Arabidopsis thaliana: one gene and its partner. The protein of the gene in region 2 interacts with the protein of the main gene of each other region in a pairwise test. Each region holds a gene or a part of one and is shown on either strand. Other genes may lie near its edges.

Region 1 (7,151 bases), on a different chromosome or scaffold from region 2:
ACTCATAGATGTGTTAACATACATAACCAAACAAAATTTGTTAAAACCGTGACATATGGGCTAAACATTCCATTTGATTATCTTAAATTTTGAAATTTTAGTTTTATCACGCTAAGTTCCGTAGCAAAAATCTAATAATTGTATATAAAATTGAGTATTTGATCAATAGAATGAGTAATAAACAAAACCGATAATTTTTTAGGTATTTTGTCACGGCTGAATTAGTTTTAATTTTTTATTCGGTAAATTTTCTATTTTCTATCATGTTTTATATATATATATATATATATATACATTTTTTAATAGAAAAAATCCTTTTATACTTTTTTGAGAACGACTGAAAACTGAGGATTCTAGTTGGGTGAATTGATAATAACTAGTGGCGAATCTTAGATGCGACTGACATTTAGAGTTATAAGATATTGTATAATATGGAGCAATTGGTACGATATAGACTGAGATAAGTAAAATAACGTGTGTCATGTTGAAGTTCATGGACCTACCTCTGAATCTAGAAGAGTTGGCGTATAATTGAAATCAATGGACAATGAGGAAATTTGGGAATCTGGCTAGTCGCTAATTGAACAGACACAGAATGGCTGGTCAATAATTAAAGAGGAGCCGTTTCCCATTTTATTTGTTCGTTTCCTAAATCCTTATCGTACGTTTGAAATAAAATCATAAGATTTATATAAACACAATGGTTGTGCCAAAAAAAACAATATATGGTCAGCTCAGCTGTCACATTAATTAGGTTTTTTTCTATGGATGAAATTAATTTGGAATAAGCTATTCAAATTTTTAAATGACCTGTTATTACTTATAGGGTATAAATACTATATGCCCACTCCTTTGTCTTTGACTGAGGGAATACAAATCCTAACCGTATGTGATATTTTAAAATCTAAATGTATTAGATGTGGATAGATATACAGATATTGTAAGAAAATATCTTACATAAAATAAAACACTAACCAACATGTAAATAACTAAATATATAAACCAAAAAAAACAATTTAAATTGAAATCCAAACAAATCTAGATGTCCGTATAAAATCACGTTTAAAAATTCTAAAAGTTATCATCAGGTGTGACACATGTATAATCAATTGTATTATCCAGAACAATGAGTTGATGTCAATGACTCGATGCTATGAGCTTATGAGTAGATCATACAATGTGGACACGACAACCTAAATTTAACAAAGGATATAAAATTGTGAACTGTTTTTCTGCCAAGGATTTAAAATTCATTTAGCGTTGTAATTTGGTACACACATATACATATTAATAAAATCTACGGCATATTATTAACGAGGTAATCAACATTTAGGGTATAAATGGTTGCAAACACGATCAATCATACAATTAGGTTAACCGGTTTGTGACACAATGGGCGACTCAGGATAAGACATGGAGGAGGAGCTGATATGATAAGACGAAGTTAGGTGATATATATAGAGATGTACCAGAGATCATAATGCATATGAAATGAGATCGATAGCTGTCTTCTCTTAAACTGAATTACGACCTCTCTATACTTCTGGTCCTATCCGTGAGTCATGTGCTCTCTGTCTTTAGTCATAATATGATTTTGAATTGGCTCTGCACCATTCAAGATCATGGCCCATTATGGTTCTCTGCACCTGATTCTGTTTCCATAATAATTCCATTTACCTACAAGGCTATACATATAATTTATTAGTATAATAACCATATTATGAGAAGATTAATTATACTGTTCATACGGCAATTAAGATATCGATGCGAAAGGATTCGTGATCTTTATAGAGTTTATATTCCGCCGTTGCTAGCTAATCATGTTTATTTTGTTTCTCTAGTACTTAACGCGTTTGTCAATTTATTAAATTCGATTAGCTAAAAAAAGGATTTGACTCAATTTCATCTTTAGAGACTTACAAACCAATTTATACAAATCAATTTTTTATAGATGTTACATTTTTTCGTTCACATTAATGACAGGTTTTCTTCTTTCTATGACTTAAATCCACCTAACTCCAAAATTAAATCCCCAATTCATGTTAAAGAAGTGAATTTCAACGCTTCGAAAAGTTAATAAAAGACAATGAAGAACATACATGAAACATGCTTAGCGCCTAGCGGACGAGCCTCTTAATTAGAACCAAGTCCTTAGAAAATTACAAAATTTTAGGTATATGCCAAAAATCAAACTAAAGTTGTCGATAACCATGATAAATGTTGCGTATATCTATCTAAGAAATATCACGCCTAAAAGATAAATTTTGGTACAACTCTCCTCAACGTTCATTTTTTTAATACTCTGAAATACCACAACTATATTCCATATAGATGAGGTTTGAGGTTTCTAAGACTTTTAAAACTTAAAGTCCTAGAATTAAAGAAACGTGTAACCTTTCAAGTTTAATATGGGGGAGGTTTGGATCGGCGGAAGCTAAAAACAGCAAGGATCAGGACAACAATGGCCTAACGAATGACACGTGATGCTCTTTTCATGTTGCTCAACTTCGATAGCGACCGTTTTTCTATTTTTATCACTTTCATATTTTACCCCCAAGAAAAACAAAAACAAGCGAGTCCGATATGTTTAAGAGTCCCAACCTAAAATCTATTTTCATCACCTTCCCTATATAGCCCGCACACCGCACACAACTAATACCTCAAAATATTAATTTGTTTGTGTTTGCGCTTGTTTTTATGTTCTTAACATCAGGGTAAAATGTATCTTATGTGATTAGTTTTAGTGGGATACTCTACATAGCATTCACATGTCTATTAGTTTAAATACGTGTATGTCAATCTAATGATACAATTCAGTTCGCATGACTTGCAAAACATAAACGTAAAAAGCAACACATATGAACCACTTACCACAATTTTCGCTACAACTTTTTCCACCATATTAGCAAAAAAAACAAGGGCGAATAACATTCATTTGGTATAATCCATAACGATCAAATTATCGATTATCATCACTACATTTAGCTAGAGATTTTCTAGCCTTTCTATTTGCCAAACCTTTTAATCCATTCTTCCTTTTAAAAAAAAAATTATTTATTTCTTTTCAATTTTTATGAAAACCGTATCTTTAACTAATTGTTATCCTTGCTAATACATGCATCAACATTTTCTTAAAGTTTTTGGTAAAATTAACACATAAGAAATAAGAAATAGTTTTCTTCTTTAAACTCGTCCTTATCACAAATTTTAGATTGTATGATATTAAATTCGATCTTATCTTAAATACTTTAAATAACGTTTTATTTACTCTTCTCATATTACAAATTTACTACACTGTTGCTTTTCTATGTTTTACAATTATATTTAGGAGATCTTTTGTTGTATTATCAATACTCTTAGATATTCATTTATGTAGTTAAAATTTATTAAGATTACTTAGATTTTATTGAGCTTTGAAATATATTTTAAAAAAAAACTTTTAATTACACGTTGGTAAAAAAAAAAGACACGTATGCAAAAGCACCAAAAAAGGTAAAACCGGAAAAATTCTCAAATTTCAAAATTACCCAAAAAAGCCTTTAACCTAACCACCTTACTTTATAAACAACCTCACCGTCTCTCTTAGCTCACCAACAATCACATTCTTCTCCCATAAGAAAAAAAAAATAATCAAATCCTCCTCCTCTGCTTCACCACCAAAAAGCATATTCTTCTCTCGTCTTCTCCGGTTAATCAAAATCTCTCCGTGTGAATCGTTTGTGAATGGTGGAAACTAATCCGATCGGTGGTAAGTTTACGCTCTCCCTTTCCATCAAAAGGGCGAGCTTTTCTCTTCCTCTCTCGACATCCTCTGTTTTCGCTTTCGGATCTTGCAAAGAAGGCTGGTACTTTCGCTGCCTTGGCCTCGACCCGTGAACGATTCGCCCCTAAAATTCACAACCCGGAACCCTAATTTCCTAAAAAGTGGTTCTTTTTTTATTGATTCTGTTACTTGTGAGATTTGCTCTGTTTTTTGTTCTCTCGATTTCGAAGATGTTGCTCTACAACAAGCAGAAGAAGAACCAAAACGCTAAAGGGAATAGGATTCTCATTAGCGTTACGGTTTTGGGTAGTGCCGGTCCGATCCGGTTTGTTGCTTATGAGGATGATCTTGTTGCCTCTGTTATCGATACTGCTCTTAAAGGTTACGCTCGTGAAGGTCGTCTTCCTCTTCTTGGATCTGATTTCAATGATTTTCTTCTCTATTGTCCTATGGTTGGACCTGAAGGTAAACTAAACTCAATTCCAATGTCTTTTAGCTTTATGTGTGAATGATCTGTTTAAAGAATTGGTTGACTGATGTTGTGTTTTGATGACAGCTTTAAGCACATGGGATGCAATTGGATCTCTTGGAGCGAGGAACTTTATGCTCTGTAGGAAACCAGAGGAGAAGAAGGTTGAGGAAAGTAATGGAAGATCTGACTCTACCATTAATGGTGCAAGAAAAGGTGGAAGCTTGAAGGCTTGGATCAACAAATCCTTCAATCTCAAAGTCTCAAGCCATTAAGATTAATTTTCTTCTCTTTTTTATGAAATAATAAGACCAATCTTTGTTTTATCATCATTATGTTCTTTGTTTTTGGTTTTGATTCCAAAGTTTGTTATTTTCATCTTTCATTCATGAATAAAAGTGTCAAATTCTTCTGGATTTTGCACTGTTTCAAGTGTTGAAGTTGGTTTCTTTTGATGCTTCTTCTTGCAAGTTGTCCAACTGAGGAAATTTGTCAGCAAATTGTGTACTTTCTCTAGTACAATTCTGTATTATTCGTCTCGTAAAACACGTTTTGAAATTATTGTTACGCAATAACAGAGCTCTGATTAAAGTGATAGTTGTATACTTGTATCCGTGAAGAGGAATAATGTTAAGGTATATACTTTTTTAATGTTCTTGTCTTAAGGTGTCAAGTTGTGGAGGAGACGTCATTGTCGAGAATCCAAAATTAAAAGTGTTAAAAGTTTGATTTTGATTAGAAAAAGGTAAACAAACTTTGCGACAGAAGAAGAAAAATAGAAGAAAGTACAAATGAATGATGATAAACAACTAAAACTACTACACAAGTTCCGTACCAACTTGTACTCTTGCCTCTCTACAAGTGTTGTTGCCGTGCTTTACTTCTCTTCTTCCTTATCATGAAAACGACACACTATTTTATTTACTAGTTACTACACGTCTCGCACACCACACTTTCCTTATCCAACGCCGGAGGTTTCTACACACTTCCATAAGTCATAAAAACAACACGGTGTTTGTCTCACTAACTATGACCATTGACCAACCATGCACATCATACGATGATAACGATGATGAGATATTTTCTAAATGCCACGTGTATGTCACATTTCTCTTTTTGTTTTAAGTTCGAATTGGATCGTGGCAAGGTAATCATGGTAAATTGTTAGGCCAACGCTCTCGGTTACATGTAATCATCCTATAGTATACGATTTAACTCGAACAGAAACAAAAGAAGTATCTGTTTTTCTTCTTCTTCTGATTGAATAGTATATAACATATACTGTACTTGTTTGTTAAAACATGTTATAAATTAGTATTTAGATATTCGGAAACTAGAAATACTAGCTATGGCCAAAAGAAATAAGTTTATAGTTAGACTTACATTTATTATGGGCTTTAAGGCTTCAATCCATTGACGTCAAAAGAAAAAATCCATTAGATGTTTGATGGGCCGAATGACTAAAAACTACCGGCCTCAATTTGACCAAACTATTTATTTACACAATTAATAAATGAAATTACTTTGTGTAAAAAAAAAAAAAATGATGTACAGAATTTAAAAGTGCTCATGAGAAACATACGTTTCAGTTTTCACTCTCAAAGGAACACATTTTTGGTCAACTCAGTTCAGTTAGTTTGAAGACTTGAAGTTAAGAAAACTAAATTCAATCGAAAGGAAAAAAAAACTTTTTCACTTTTAGTTTCTTTTACTTTTTCAGACAGCTTCGTGACAAAACAATATAATTGGTTACAACTGAAAAACAATCAAAAAGAAGTTTGATGAACATATTTTGAAAAATGAGAAAGAAGGGGGTTCAAATGTTAGCTTTAAAAAGATTCATATGAGACGACAAAAAAAAAAAAAAGAAAGATTCATATGATTTTAATGTGAATGTGATCCGCAAATAAATAATCTAATGTTTTTTTAATAGTACAATGGTATCTTACAAAATTAAATGCTATTTATTCTATAGAAAACTTATTTTTGCTAAAAACGTAAGATATACATTTCTAAAAAACATAAATTTATCTAAAACCAGATTGGATTTAAAAAAAATAGTAACAAGTATTTGAACCTAAAAAAAAAAAAAAAAAACTCAGATAAACAGAAATCACCTTTAAAATTACTTGATGTTTTTTCTTCTTCTGTTAATTATACAAATGTTGTATTACTAATTATACTTAAGCTGAAATTAAACGGGATTGTGGTTGGAGACTTGGAGTGTGTGGGAAACCAATTCGCTTTCAACATGCAAGCATGTAAGTATGAATGCTCTCATTATTATCACGTTACGTTCGCCGATAATAAATGTATTTAATTTGTAATACAAGTATAATTAGTGGTAACGAACACATTACACATGAACGGCTATGTTACTTACTTGGCCATTAATTCCGTTGACCTTAAGAGATGGCATATTTATGAGTTTCTTTGACTATTTGTATATCGACAACTTCTCCACCACCATAGGCACCACTTTCCATTTTCTTTTATGCCAAAACTATATCAGCCCACTTAAATCAATATTTTATTCACTTTTATTTATGGATTTATGAATCACACAATTCTCCACAATTCTAAAATTAATAAATTTTGAAGAATGAACATAAAAATTTGTTAACATATATCATATATTACTTGTAGATCCTTCTTTTTGGAATAAAATAAAAGTGTTGTTAGCGTCAATATACTTCAACTTTGTTAAAAATGAGTAAATGACCACAAATTGTGAAGGAAAAAAAAGTAGACTTGATCTTGATTTGTCGATTGTTGTCTTTCTTCGGTGTGTTTATGATTACCTAAGGTGACAATGAATTTGAAGGATTTCCAAAACTAGAGCTGCGGAACAAAACTGTGACGGTAGGTTTCTCCTAGCTAGTAGAGAACTTGGTTTAGAGGAGACACGATTTCTACAGA
Region 2 (8,692 bases):
CTTTAGAGAAGCAAGAAGGAGAAGGAGAAGATGGGATTACAGTTGGAGAGTTTGATGGAGACGATAAAGTCAAAGGTGAGTTTGCTAAGGAAGAAGAAGAAAACTTACATCAAAATGGACAAAAGCTCCAGCGTCAGAGTCGCCATCCGTCGTAAGAAGACTAGAGATCTCATCGATAAGACCTTAAAGGTCGCTGATCGTCCTGGCAAACGAACTCTTTTCTAATAATACTTCTTCTTCTTCTTTTTTTTCTCTCATATTTTGCCATCATTTTTTGTTGTTCTTCGTTCAGTGATTTGGTGTTTTTGATTCAGGAGATCATGTTTGTGATAATATGTATAGTTTCTGGAAATAAATAAAAGAAAAACATTATAGAAACATCAAACATATATGATTGATCGATGAAACAAGGATCCTTCTTTTTTTTATATTAAAATCCAGTATAATTGACTTTTACTGATAGGATCTTGATTCTTGAGTCCATATTACTTTTTTTTGTCGGCAAGTCAGTCTTACTTTAATGGAGTTTTAAGTGAAATCGTGTAACCCCAAGAAAAGTCCGGTTTAGAGTGTAATATCTATGAAGTTTAAACCGATGCAGCTTTCTTGGAAAAAAAGAGGAGAGTTTCATTATATGTATAAACTCAGAAATCATCTTCTACACTTGCAAACTCAGGCATTCTAATAGTAGAGGTGAATACATACCAAAAACCATGACATAAGCAGCTTCAAGAAGCCAACAAAGCTTCAACTTTAGCTATCTGTTCTTCCTCGGTGGCTTTAGCTGGACTCTTGTTCGCCTCATCGAACAAGTCATGGTCCCATTTCTTCTCATTCCTTGTCCAGCTTCCGCTAAACCCACTTCGCCCATTGCCGTTGAATCTGTCTCTATCAGCTTGATAACTCTGTCTGCTTCCCGCGCCTCTTTCATCATCTCTGTTCCACACTCTGTCTCTTCCCATTGCTGGTCTCTCATGTCTTTCTGAATGCGTATTGCTCCTCCAGTTCCTCTCGTTCTGTCTGCGATTGTTTAGATTAGTGTCTTTTCCATCCTCAGTTCTTGTTCTGTCTGTGTTGTTCCCAGTTTCCTCTGCAATCTTCTTCTCCCTGAAGGCTGGTCGTTTCCTAGAGAGTGCTCCTTGGGTGTCATCACTCTCACGGAACCTATCATGTCGCCATGAGCTTTTGTCTTCGTCTTTACGATGCTGTGACTTCTCATCATCTCCAGCTCTTCGGTTACTCTGATCTCTTGAACTTCTCCACGATCCTCTCACTTCAAACATTTAAAAGCAAGTAATATGTTCATAAGACCTACCAATATTATTAAAGACATATATTTTTGCTTATGTAATGAAGAGAAGGAAAGAGTAAATTTGGCGAGAATTACCAGAAGTTGGTCTTCTATCAACTTTTCCATCACTACGACGATCATCATGCTGTTATAAGACACGCACAGGCAAGCCAAAGATTACATATGACTGAGCATTGGGAGGCATTCAACTGTATGCAATAATTCCATCACATGAGCACAGATTAAAGGCTAACTATGCAGTAAATAGCAACCCAGCAATTGATTTTTAACAAGCAGATAAATGGCCAAATATTAACTCTTTTAGCCATTTCATTCCAGCAGATCAAAAACTTGCAAGACCTCCTATGACCACACATCTACTAAGGACAGTAACAAAAAGAACGTTATCAGATGGAAAATAATCAAGGTTGTTTTGGAACCTGAGAATATGGTCTAGAACGAGGTACTTGTGACAGATGGGGAGCTGCTTTGGTGGTCTCATGATGTCCAGAGTGCTTCTTCTCACTGTCTTTTCTCGAACCATGAGCATCAAGTTCCAATGGAGCATCTCTCAAAGACTGACGTGAGTTTTTCTCAGTGTCAGTACCATCTCTAACATCCAAATCCTTCTTACTCAGAACTCGTTCAGCTTCAGGTTTGCCATCTCTTCTTGATCTCTTAGGGCTAAAGACAAAAACATAAATGATTAGTTGTACAACTGTGATAAGCTACCAAAATCAACTAATTGTGCCTATCAGTAAAATTGACCATCTTCAGAAAAATCTCCACTGTTCGAGAGTGAATGTGACCAAATTAGAGTAGACAGATCAACATAGGATGATTCAAAAAACAATCACTTCAACACTAAATTCAGCTTTCATTTCGATTTCTAGACAAAAGACACTATGAGCTTCCTCGTTGTTCAAAACCGAATTTTATTTGCTTCAAAGTTATAATAGAAGATGAAGATAGAGCAGGAATCTCCAGAAGAAGAAGACCTGGGTTCGCGATCGATTCTAGAACGGTGACGTCTAGGGTCTGAATCTCTGCTTTCTCGCCTCGTCGACATGTTTCTCTCACCGAAGAAATTTTAGGGCTTTGCTCTTCTCTCTTCCCACGCCTGCCTGCAACATTTTATCTAATTTTCCCGTCAGAAATTGTCAATTTCCTCAATATTACAGTTTCCGCCTTATATTTCTTCAAGTATCAGAAAAAACCCCATAAGTTAGAATTGTGCACAGAAACGATCTGCGATACCATTATAAAATCCGGTTCTCTAATCAGTCTATATCTAAATTTTGATGTCGAAATAAGCAAGAAGGAAACTATGCAATTTGCTCTTTTATTAAATCGAAAGAAATGCAAATAGTGAAGGAGACGGATAAAAAAAGGTTTGAGAGTAGTAAAGATCCTCAAGAACAAAGGATATACATAAAAGTCTTGTTAGCTTAAATAGATTTGTGGCAATGCGACATTATTCTCCTCTCCCAATATGTTGTTGGTCGACTCATTCAAGAAGGCGCTTGTACTTGCACCACCCGATGGCACCAACGTAGAGGCATATACTGCCGATAGAACCTCCAATCACAGTCCAAATGAATCTACTTGGACCATGTTTATTATCCGTGAACAACTCTATGGTTATATTCATACCAAATACACCAGCAACTGCGATAAAGGCGCTCATCACCAGAGTAGCTGTTGTTAGCATCACACCCATCTGCAGAAGATGATTCTGCTTGTCATCTAGCATTATGTTGATGTAGTCCTCCGTGTCATCCACATATTCCCTTAGCTTTTTTCATCATAACAACAACAAAAACCACAATGTATTAGAAGAAGGATATCATCACGACAAAGAGTACCAAAGCATCTGGTCTATTTACTTACTGTTGATAGTTTGTTCAGTATACCATCGATCTGCACGAAATATGCTTCCAAAAGCATTTCAAGCTCTTCCACATCTAATTTGTTGGTCATGGCACTCCGGGTTGAGCTTGTGTGAGTCCCACGGCTATTTCTGCTAAGTGCACTTTGAGTACTCATAAGAAGCTCGTGAGCATCATTTGCTTGAAGATACCTTCCATCTCTGTTAGCCTCTGATGCAAATTCGGGAGGAAGCCTGGAGTAAAAAGGCAGATGTTAAACTTATATCAGAACAATAGAAGGTACTGCAAGCTCAGAAAGTTGATACATGCCTGTCATCCTCATCTCCTTGAGGAAGATCAACCTCGAAGGTATCACTCTCATTCATAGAGGAATTTGACGAATCCTCAAGTTTCTGAGCTAACTTCTCTGTAAGATACATCTCAGCCATATCTTCATCATCGTCTAGCAGATGTTCTAGCTCATCCCTCACCTAGAACATGTAAAGAGAAAAAGTGTTATTAGTATAGGCAAACGTGGTTAGAATATGGTGATGTCATAGGTTCACATCTATAAGGAAACATGATAAATCCTTATCATAATATCAAAGGAGCCATTTTAATGTCCGAATCATAGCACCTTCTGAACACGTCCAGTTATTGCAACCAGCCTGCTTTTAATCTGTCGAACCCGCTCCAAATTAAGGGTACTGATCTTGGAAGTAAGCTTGTCCAGGGCTGGATGAGCCTCTAACTCCAATCTTAAGGCCTACATTAGAAGAATGAATCAAATACCAAACAAGAGAAGAAATATGCTTTGTCTCAGAGCCTTAACATAAGTATTTACCTCATGTTCCAAACTGCTTGATGCAGCTTCAAGACAGGCTTCCAGAGCAACAAACTCAAATGGAAGAACCTTCGATCCATCTTGATTCTCAAGACTTTGCTTCGCATCCTTCTTGGCTTCACTCCCTTGATCCCCAGAAGATTGTTCCGTTCCAGCTTCTCCTTGGGCAGGATCTACCCTCGTATGAGGCTCTCCCCCAGAGTTCTGCTCCTCCTTTACACAACACATACAAAGAGAGTATATAGTCAACCATAGCTAAACTGACAACCATAATCTTCACATATCATCACCATTGCACAAATCAAATAGTCAACCATGTCTCAACAATACATTAGCTATTATATACATATTCCATTGTCAAGCGAAAATATTTCTACTTCCCAATTCCAAAACAATGCAATTAGGCACAAACAAAAGGAGACAATACAAAAGCCAACTCCTTGAATAAACAAAAAGAGCTCCAAATGAACAGTGGGAAAACCCTAAATTCTCCAATTACCTGAGGTTTAGTGGCGTGATGGTGACAGAGAATCCGCCTCTGCAACTCATCAATAAAGGGTGAGACCGAAGGATCCTTGGAATTAAGCAACAAAACTTCTTGAGCAGTGATGATTGCCTTGATATGCTCCAAATTGATGACAATCGCTCTCTCTCTACCTAAAACAGTAGATGGATACGACAACAGTGGATCGAGAATCCTAAGATCACGCGCCGGTAATCCCGTTCGCCGCATGATGGAGTGTTTCCCTTCTTCCTTCGGCTCCGATTGCCCTGACGAGTTAAGTACCAACCACGTCCTCACGCCAACGCCTTTTTTCCTTCCACCGCCGCCGCCGCCAACACCGGCGGGGTACGTCGGTGTCGGCTGACCAGTGTTTGGCGTTGATGGATTCGTACTAAAATTGAATTCATCGGGTCTAGCTCCTCTCATCGCTTATGATTGTTGTGATCAGAGAGAGATCGAGCAGCTGAGGAATGTTGGAAGTGAAAATTGGGGAATTTATATTCCGGCTCGTCCACCACAAAGGACAAAAACGGTTAAGACAAACCGGTTTTTACTTTTCCCCCAAATATCAAAATCAAACCGGGTTTAGATTTTCCACCAAAAACCAAACCGGTTTTAGCTTCTTCTTTGAATTTTTGTTGTGACGGAGGGGATTTGCTTTAAAAGTTTAGGGCTTTTAAAATCGGCGACGGCGAGCGGAGAATTCCCAAGGAAGAGTCGATGAAGTTGAAATCGGTGTTCGATGCTTCGGAAATCAAATCGGAATTTGAATCAGCGGGAATAAACCCTAAATTCGCGATTCAAATCTGGAAGTATGTAATTCAGAATCCTGATTGCGTTTGGGACGAGATTCCTTCATTGCCTTCCGCTGCATACTCTCTTCTCCATTCCAAGTTCAAGACTCTTACTTCGTCTCTTCACTCGCTATTTCATTCCTCCGATGGCACCACCTCAAAGCTTCTCATCAAGCTCCAGGTACTCTATACTCTGTTACTGTATACAACACATTGCTTTTATGGATTCTGAAAAACTTGTAATGTCTCTGTTTCCTGACGAACTCATATTGGATTCTTGCTTTTGGTTTTGAAATTGAAGAATGGAGCTTTTGTGGAAGCTGTGGTAATGAGATACGATACTCGGTTGGGGATGTTAGGAGGGAAACCACGTCCTGGAGGTATAAGATCTACGTTATGTATTTCATCTCAGGTATTGATTTTTATCACGCAATGTTATCTTGGTTTTATCGAATGAAAGACATGTGATGTGAAAGTATTTATCAATAGGTTGGTTGTAAGATGGGTTGCACATTCTGTGCTACTGGTACCATGGGATTTAAAAGCAATTTAACATCTGGAGAAATTGTGGAGCAGCTTGTTCACGCCTCTCGCATTGCTGATATACGCAACATCGTTTTCATGGTATATTTCTGCTTCTGTTATTGCATTTTATCTACACTATGTGCACCTTGCCTTATGGTTATTTATTTTATATACTCTGCATTGATGAATTTTATTCACCAGTTGTTGCCTTGGTTTGATGATTGTGATCAGGGAATGGGAGAACCTTTAAATAACTACAATGCTGTTGTTGAAGCTGTTCGTGTCATGTTAAACCAACCATTTCAGCTGTCGCCCAAAAGAATTACCATATCAACTGTAAGTACTCAGAAAGCTACCTTGAAACATTCGTAAAACAGAGAAACTTATTCACTGAATTTTGTAGGAATACTTTAGATTATGGAATTTGATAAAGGGAACTGATAGATAAACTTCAATCCATTAAACCTCGCAGTATGCAGCTTCCAAGACATCTTTCAGCTTTTTTTGTCTAGTTGGTTACTTTTAAATTTTGGTGTTTTGGGATTTTCTTCTGATTTCCTTGTCCTTCCGTAATGCTTGTACCGTATATTCCAGGCATAAATCTAAATCATGCAATGCTGCCTGTGTTGACACTTTTTTTTACTAGTTAGCAAATAAATTTCCCTGTATCCTAATGTCATTTGCATAGGTCGGAATTGTTCACGCAATTAACAAGCTACACAATGATCTACCCGGTGTAAGTTTAGCAGTATCCCTCCATGCACCAGTTCAAGAAATCCGCTGCCAGATCATGCCAGCAGCTAGAGCCTTTCCTTTACAAAAGCTTATGGATGCACTTCAAACTTTCCAAAAGAACAGGTAGTTCATGTACTCTTGACTGGTTCGTTGCTGTTAAATATTAAAACCACAATCCCTTCAGTTACATTGACGATTATAACATTATGCCACATTGTCATTGGATTTAACAGTCAACAAAAGATCTTCATTGAGTACATAATGCTTGATGGAGTAAATGATCAAGAGCAGCACGCTCATCTACTAGGCGAATTGCTAAAGACATTTCAAGTGGTAAATCTTCGATGTCTTAATACTCTTAAAGGTTCTGCAATTATCTGATGATATTTTTTATGGAAACTCTGTGCTCTTTTCTTGAACAGGTCATAAATTTGATACCATTTAATCCAATTGGATCCACAAGCCAATTCGAAACAAGCAGCATACAAGGCGTGTCAAGATTCCAGAAAATCCTGAGGGAAACATACAAGATCCGGACTACAATTCGCAAAGAAATGGGTCAGGATATTAGCGGCGCTTGCGGTCAGCTAGTGGTGAACCAACCAGACATCAAAAAGACTCCTGGAACTGTGGAACTTAGAGACATAGAAGATCTGCTTCTCTAACTTTAGGACCAGAGACATGAAACAGACATTTGGAATGGTTGTGTAGTATCTTTGAAGCCACTCTTCAAAACCCTTTTCTTAAACTTCACATTTTGTCCTCTCATCACTTTGTGGAAAACACTTGGCTCACTCTTATATGCAAGACAAACAGAGATGGTCCTTGGTCCTTCCACACTATCACATGGAGGTTTAACTTCTCTTATAAAATATTCACCAACAAGTGATGTTATGTCATCGTTAAAGTTGGAAGTAAATGTTAAACTTTAATTTTAATGAAGTAAATAGTAGCTAATTAGCTTCTCTTCCCGCCTATAAAACTAGCTCCTCACTCTGTCTTCTATTCCATAAGAGTAAAAAAAACAGAGAGATGAGTATTAGAAGATTTGTGCGTCTCTCTCTGCTAATCATAGCTCTAGTTTCATCACTTTGCGAGTCTCAAAAGAACTTTGCGTGTGACATAAGTGCCCCAGCGACGGCTAAGTATGGTTTCTGCAACGTCTCATTGTCGTATGAAGCACGTGCCAAAGATTTGGTCTCACGTCTCTCCCTTAAGGAAAAAGTCCAGCAACTCGTAAACAAAGCCACAGGAGTTCCAAGGCTCGGTGTTCCGCCGTACGAGTGGTGGTCGGAAGCTCTCCATGGCGTCTCCGACGTTGGACCAGGGGTAAAAACATCATTACTGTATATAGATGAATACGAACATACATGAGTTGTTATGTAATGAAAACGCTAACGTTTTGAGTTGTTTCTTAAGGTGCATTTCAACGGGACGGTGCCTGGAGCGACGAGTTTCCCGGCGACAATATTAACGGCGGCTAGCTTTAACACATCGTTGTGGCTAAAAATGGGAGAAGTGGTATCGACGGAGGCTCGAGCGATGCACAACGTAGGACTAGCTGGACTCACCTATTGGAGTCCCAACGTTAACGTCTTCAGAGATCCGAGATGGGGTCGAGGCCAAGAGACACCAGGAGAGGATCCTCTCGTTGTTTCGAAGTACGCTGTGAACTACGTTAAGGGCTTACAAGACGTTCACGACGCCGGTAAATCACGGCGGCTAAAGGTTTCAAGCTGTTGCAAGCATTACACAGCTTATGATCTTGATAACTGGAAAGGCATCGATAGATTCCACTTTGATGCCAAGGTAATATATAAATACGTAAGTTTCAAGACCTTATAATTGACCTTAATGTTGATGGATTTGTTATTGTTTTGGTGGGAAGGTAACGAAGCAAGACTTGGAAGACACGTATCAGACGCCATTCAAGAGTTGTGTAGAGGAAGGAGATGTGAGCAGCGTAATGTGTTCTTACAACAGAGTTAATGGTATCCCAACTTGTGCAGACCCTAATCTTCTTCGTGGAGTTATCCGTGGCCAATGGCGTCTTGACGGGTACATAGTTTCGGATTGTGATTCCATCCAGGTCTATTTCAACGACATTCATTACACCAAGACACGTGAAGA

What was found.
Region 1: the proteins of MGT4 (region 2) and AT1G70780 interact in a two-hybrid assay, tested with the Arabidopsis thaliana proteins (one large-scale study listed by BioGRID).

What each region holds. Positions count from the first base shown.
Region 1 is NC_003070.9:26,692,818-26,699,968, reverse strand, and holds AT1G70780 (uncharacterized protein), read left to right. Parts: upstream 1-3,576; 5' UTR 3,577-3,993; coding exon 3,994-4,228; intron 4,229-4,319; coding exon 4,320-4,507; 3' UTR 4,508-4,803; downstream 4,804-7,151.
Region 2 is NC_003074.8:6,817,211-6,825,902, reverse strand, and holds MGT4 (magnesium transporter 4), read right to left. Parts: upstream 4,978-8,692; 5' UTR 4,935-4,977; coding exon 4,503-4,934; intron 4,217-4,502; coding exon 4,004-4,216; intron 3,926-4,003; coding exon 3,797-3,925; intron 3,651-3,796; coding exon 3,490-3,650; intron 3,414-3,489; coding exon 3,182-3,413; intron 3,087-3,181; coding exon 2,799-3,086; 3' UTR 2,436-2,798; downstream 1-2,435. Other genes in the region: AT3G19660 (uncharacterized protein), read left to right, coding at 31-225; AT3G19650 (cyclin-like protein), read right to left, coding at 729-1,273, 1,388-1,436, 1,732-1,975, 2,290-2,360; AT3G19630 (Radical SAM superfamily protein), read left to right, coding at 5,229-5,483, 5,604-5,714, 5,792-5,926, 6,059-6,163, 6,516-6,685, 6,796-6,895, 6,985-7,227; AT3G19620 (Glycosyl hydrolase family protein), read left to right, coding at 7,595-7,891, 7,982-8,371, 8,451-8,692. UniProt on the Arabidopsis thaliana protein: Magnesium transporter that may mediate the influx of magnesium.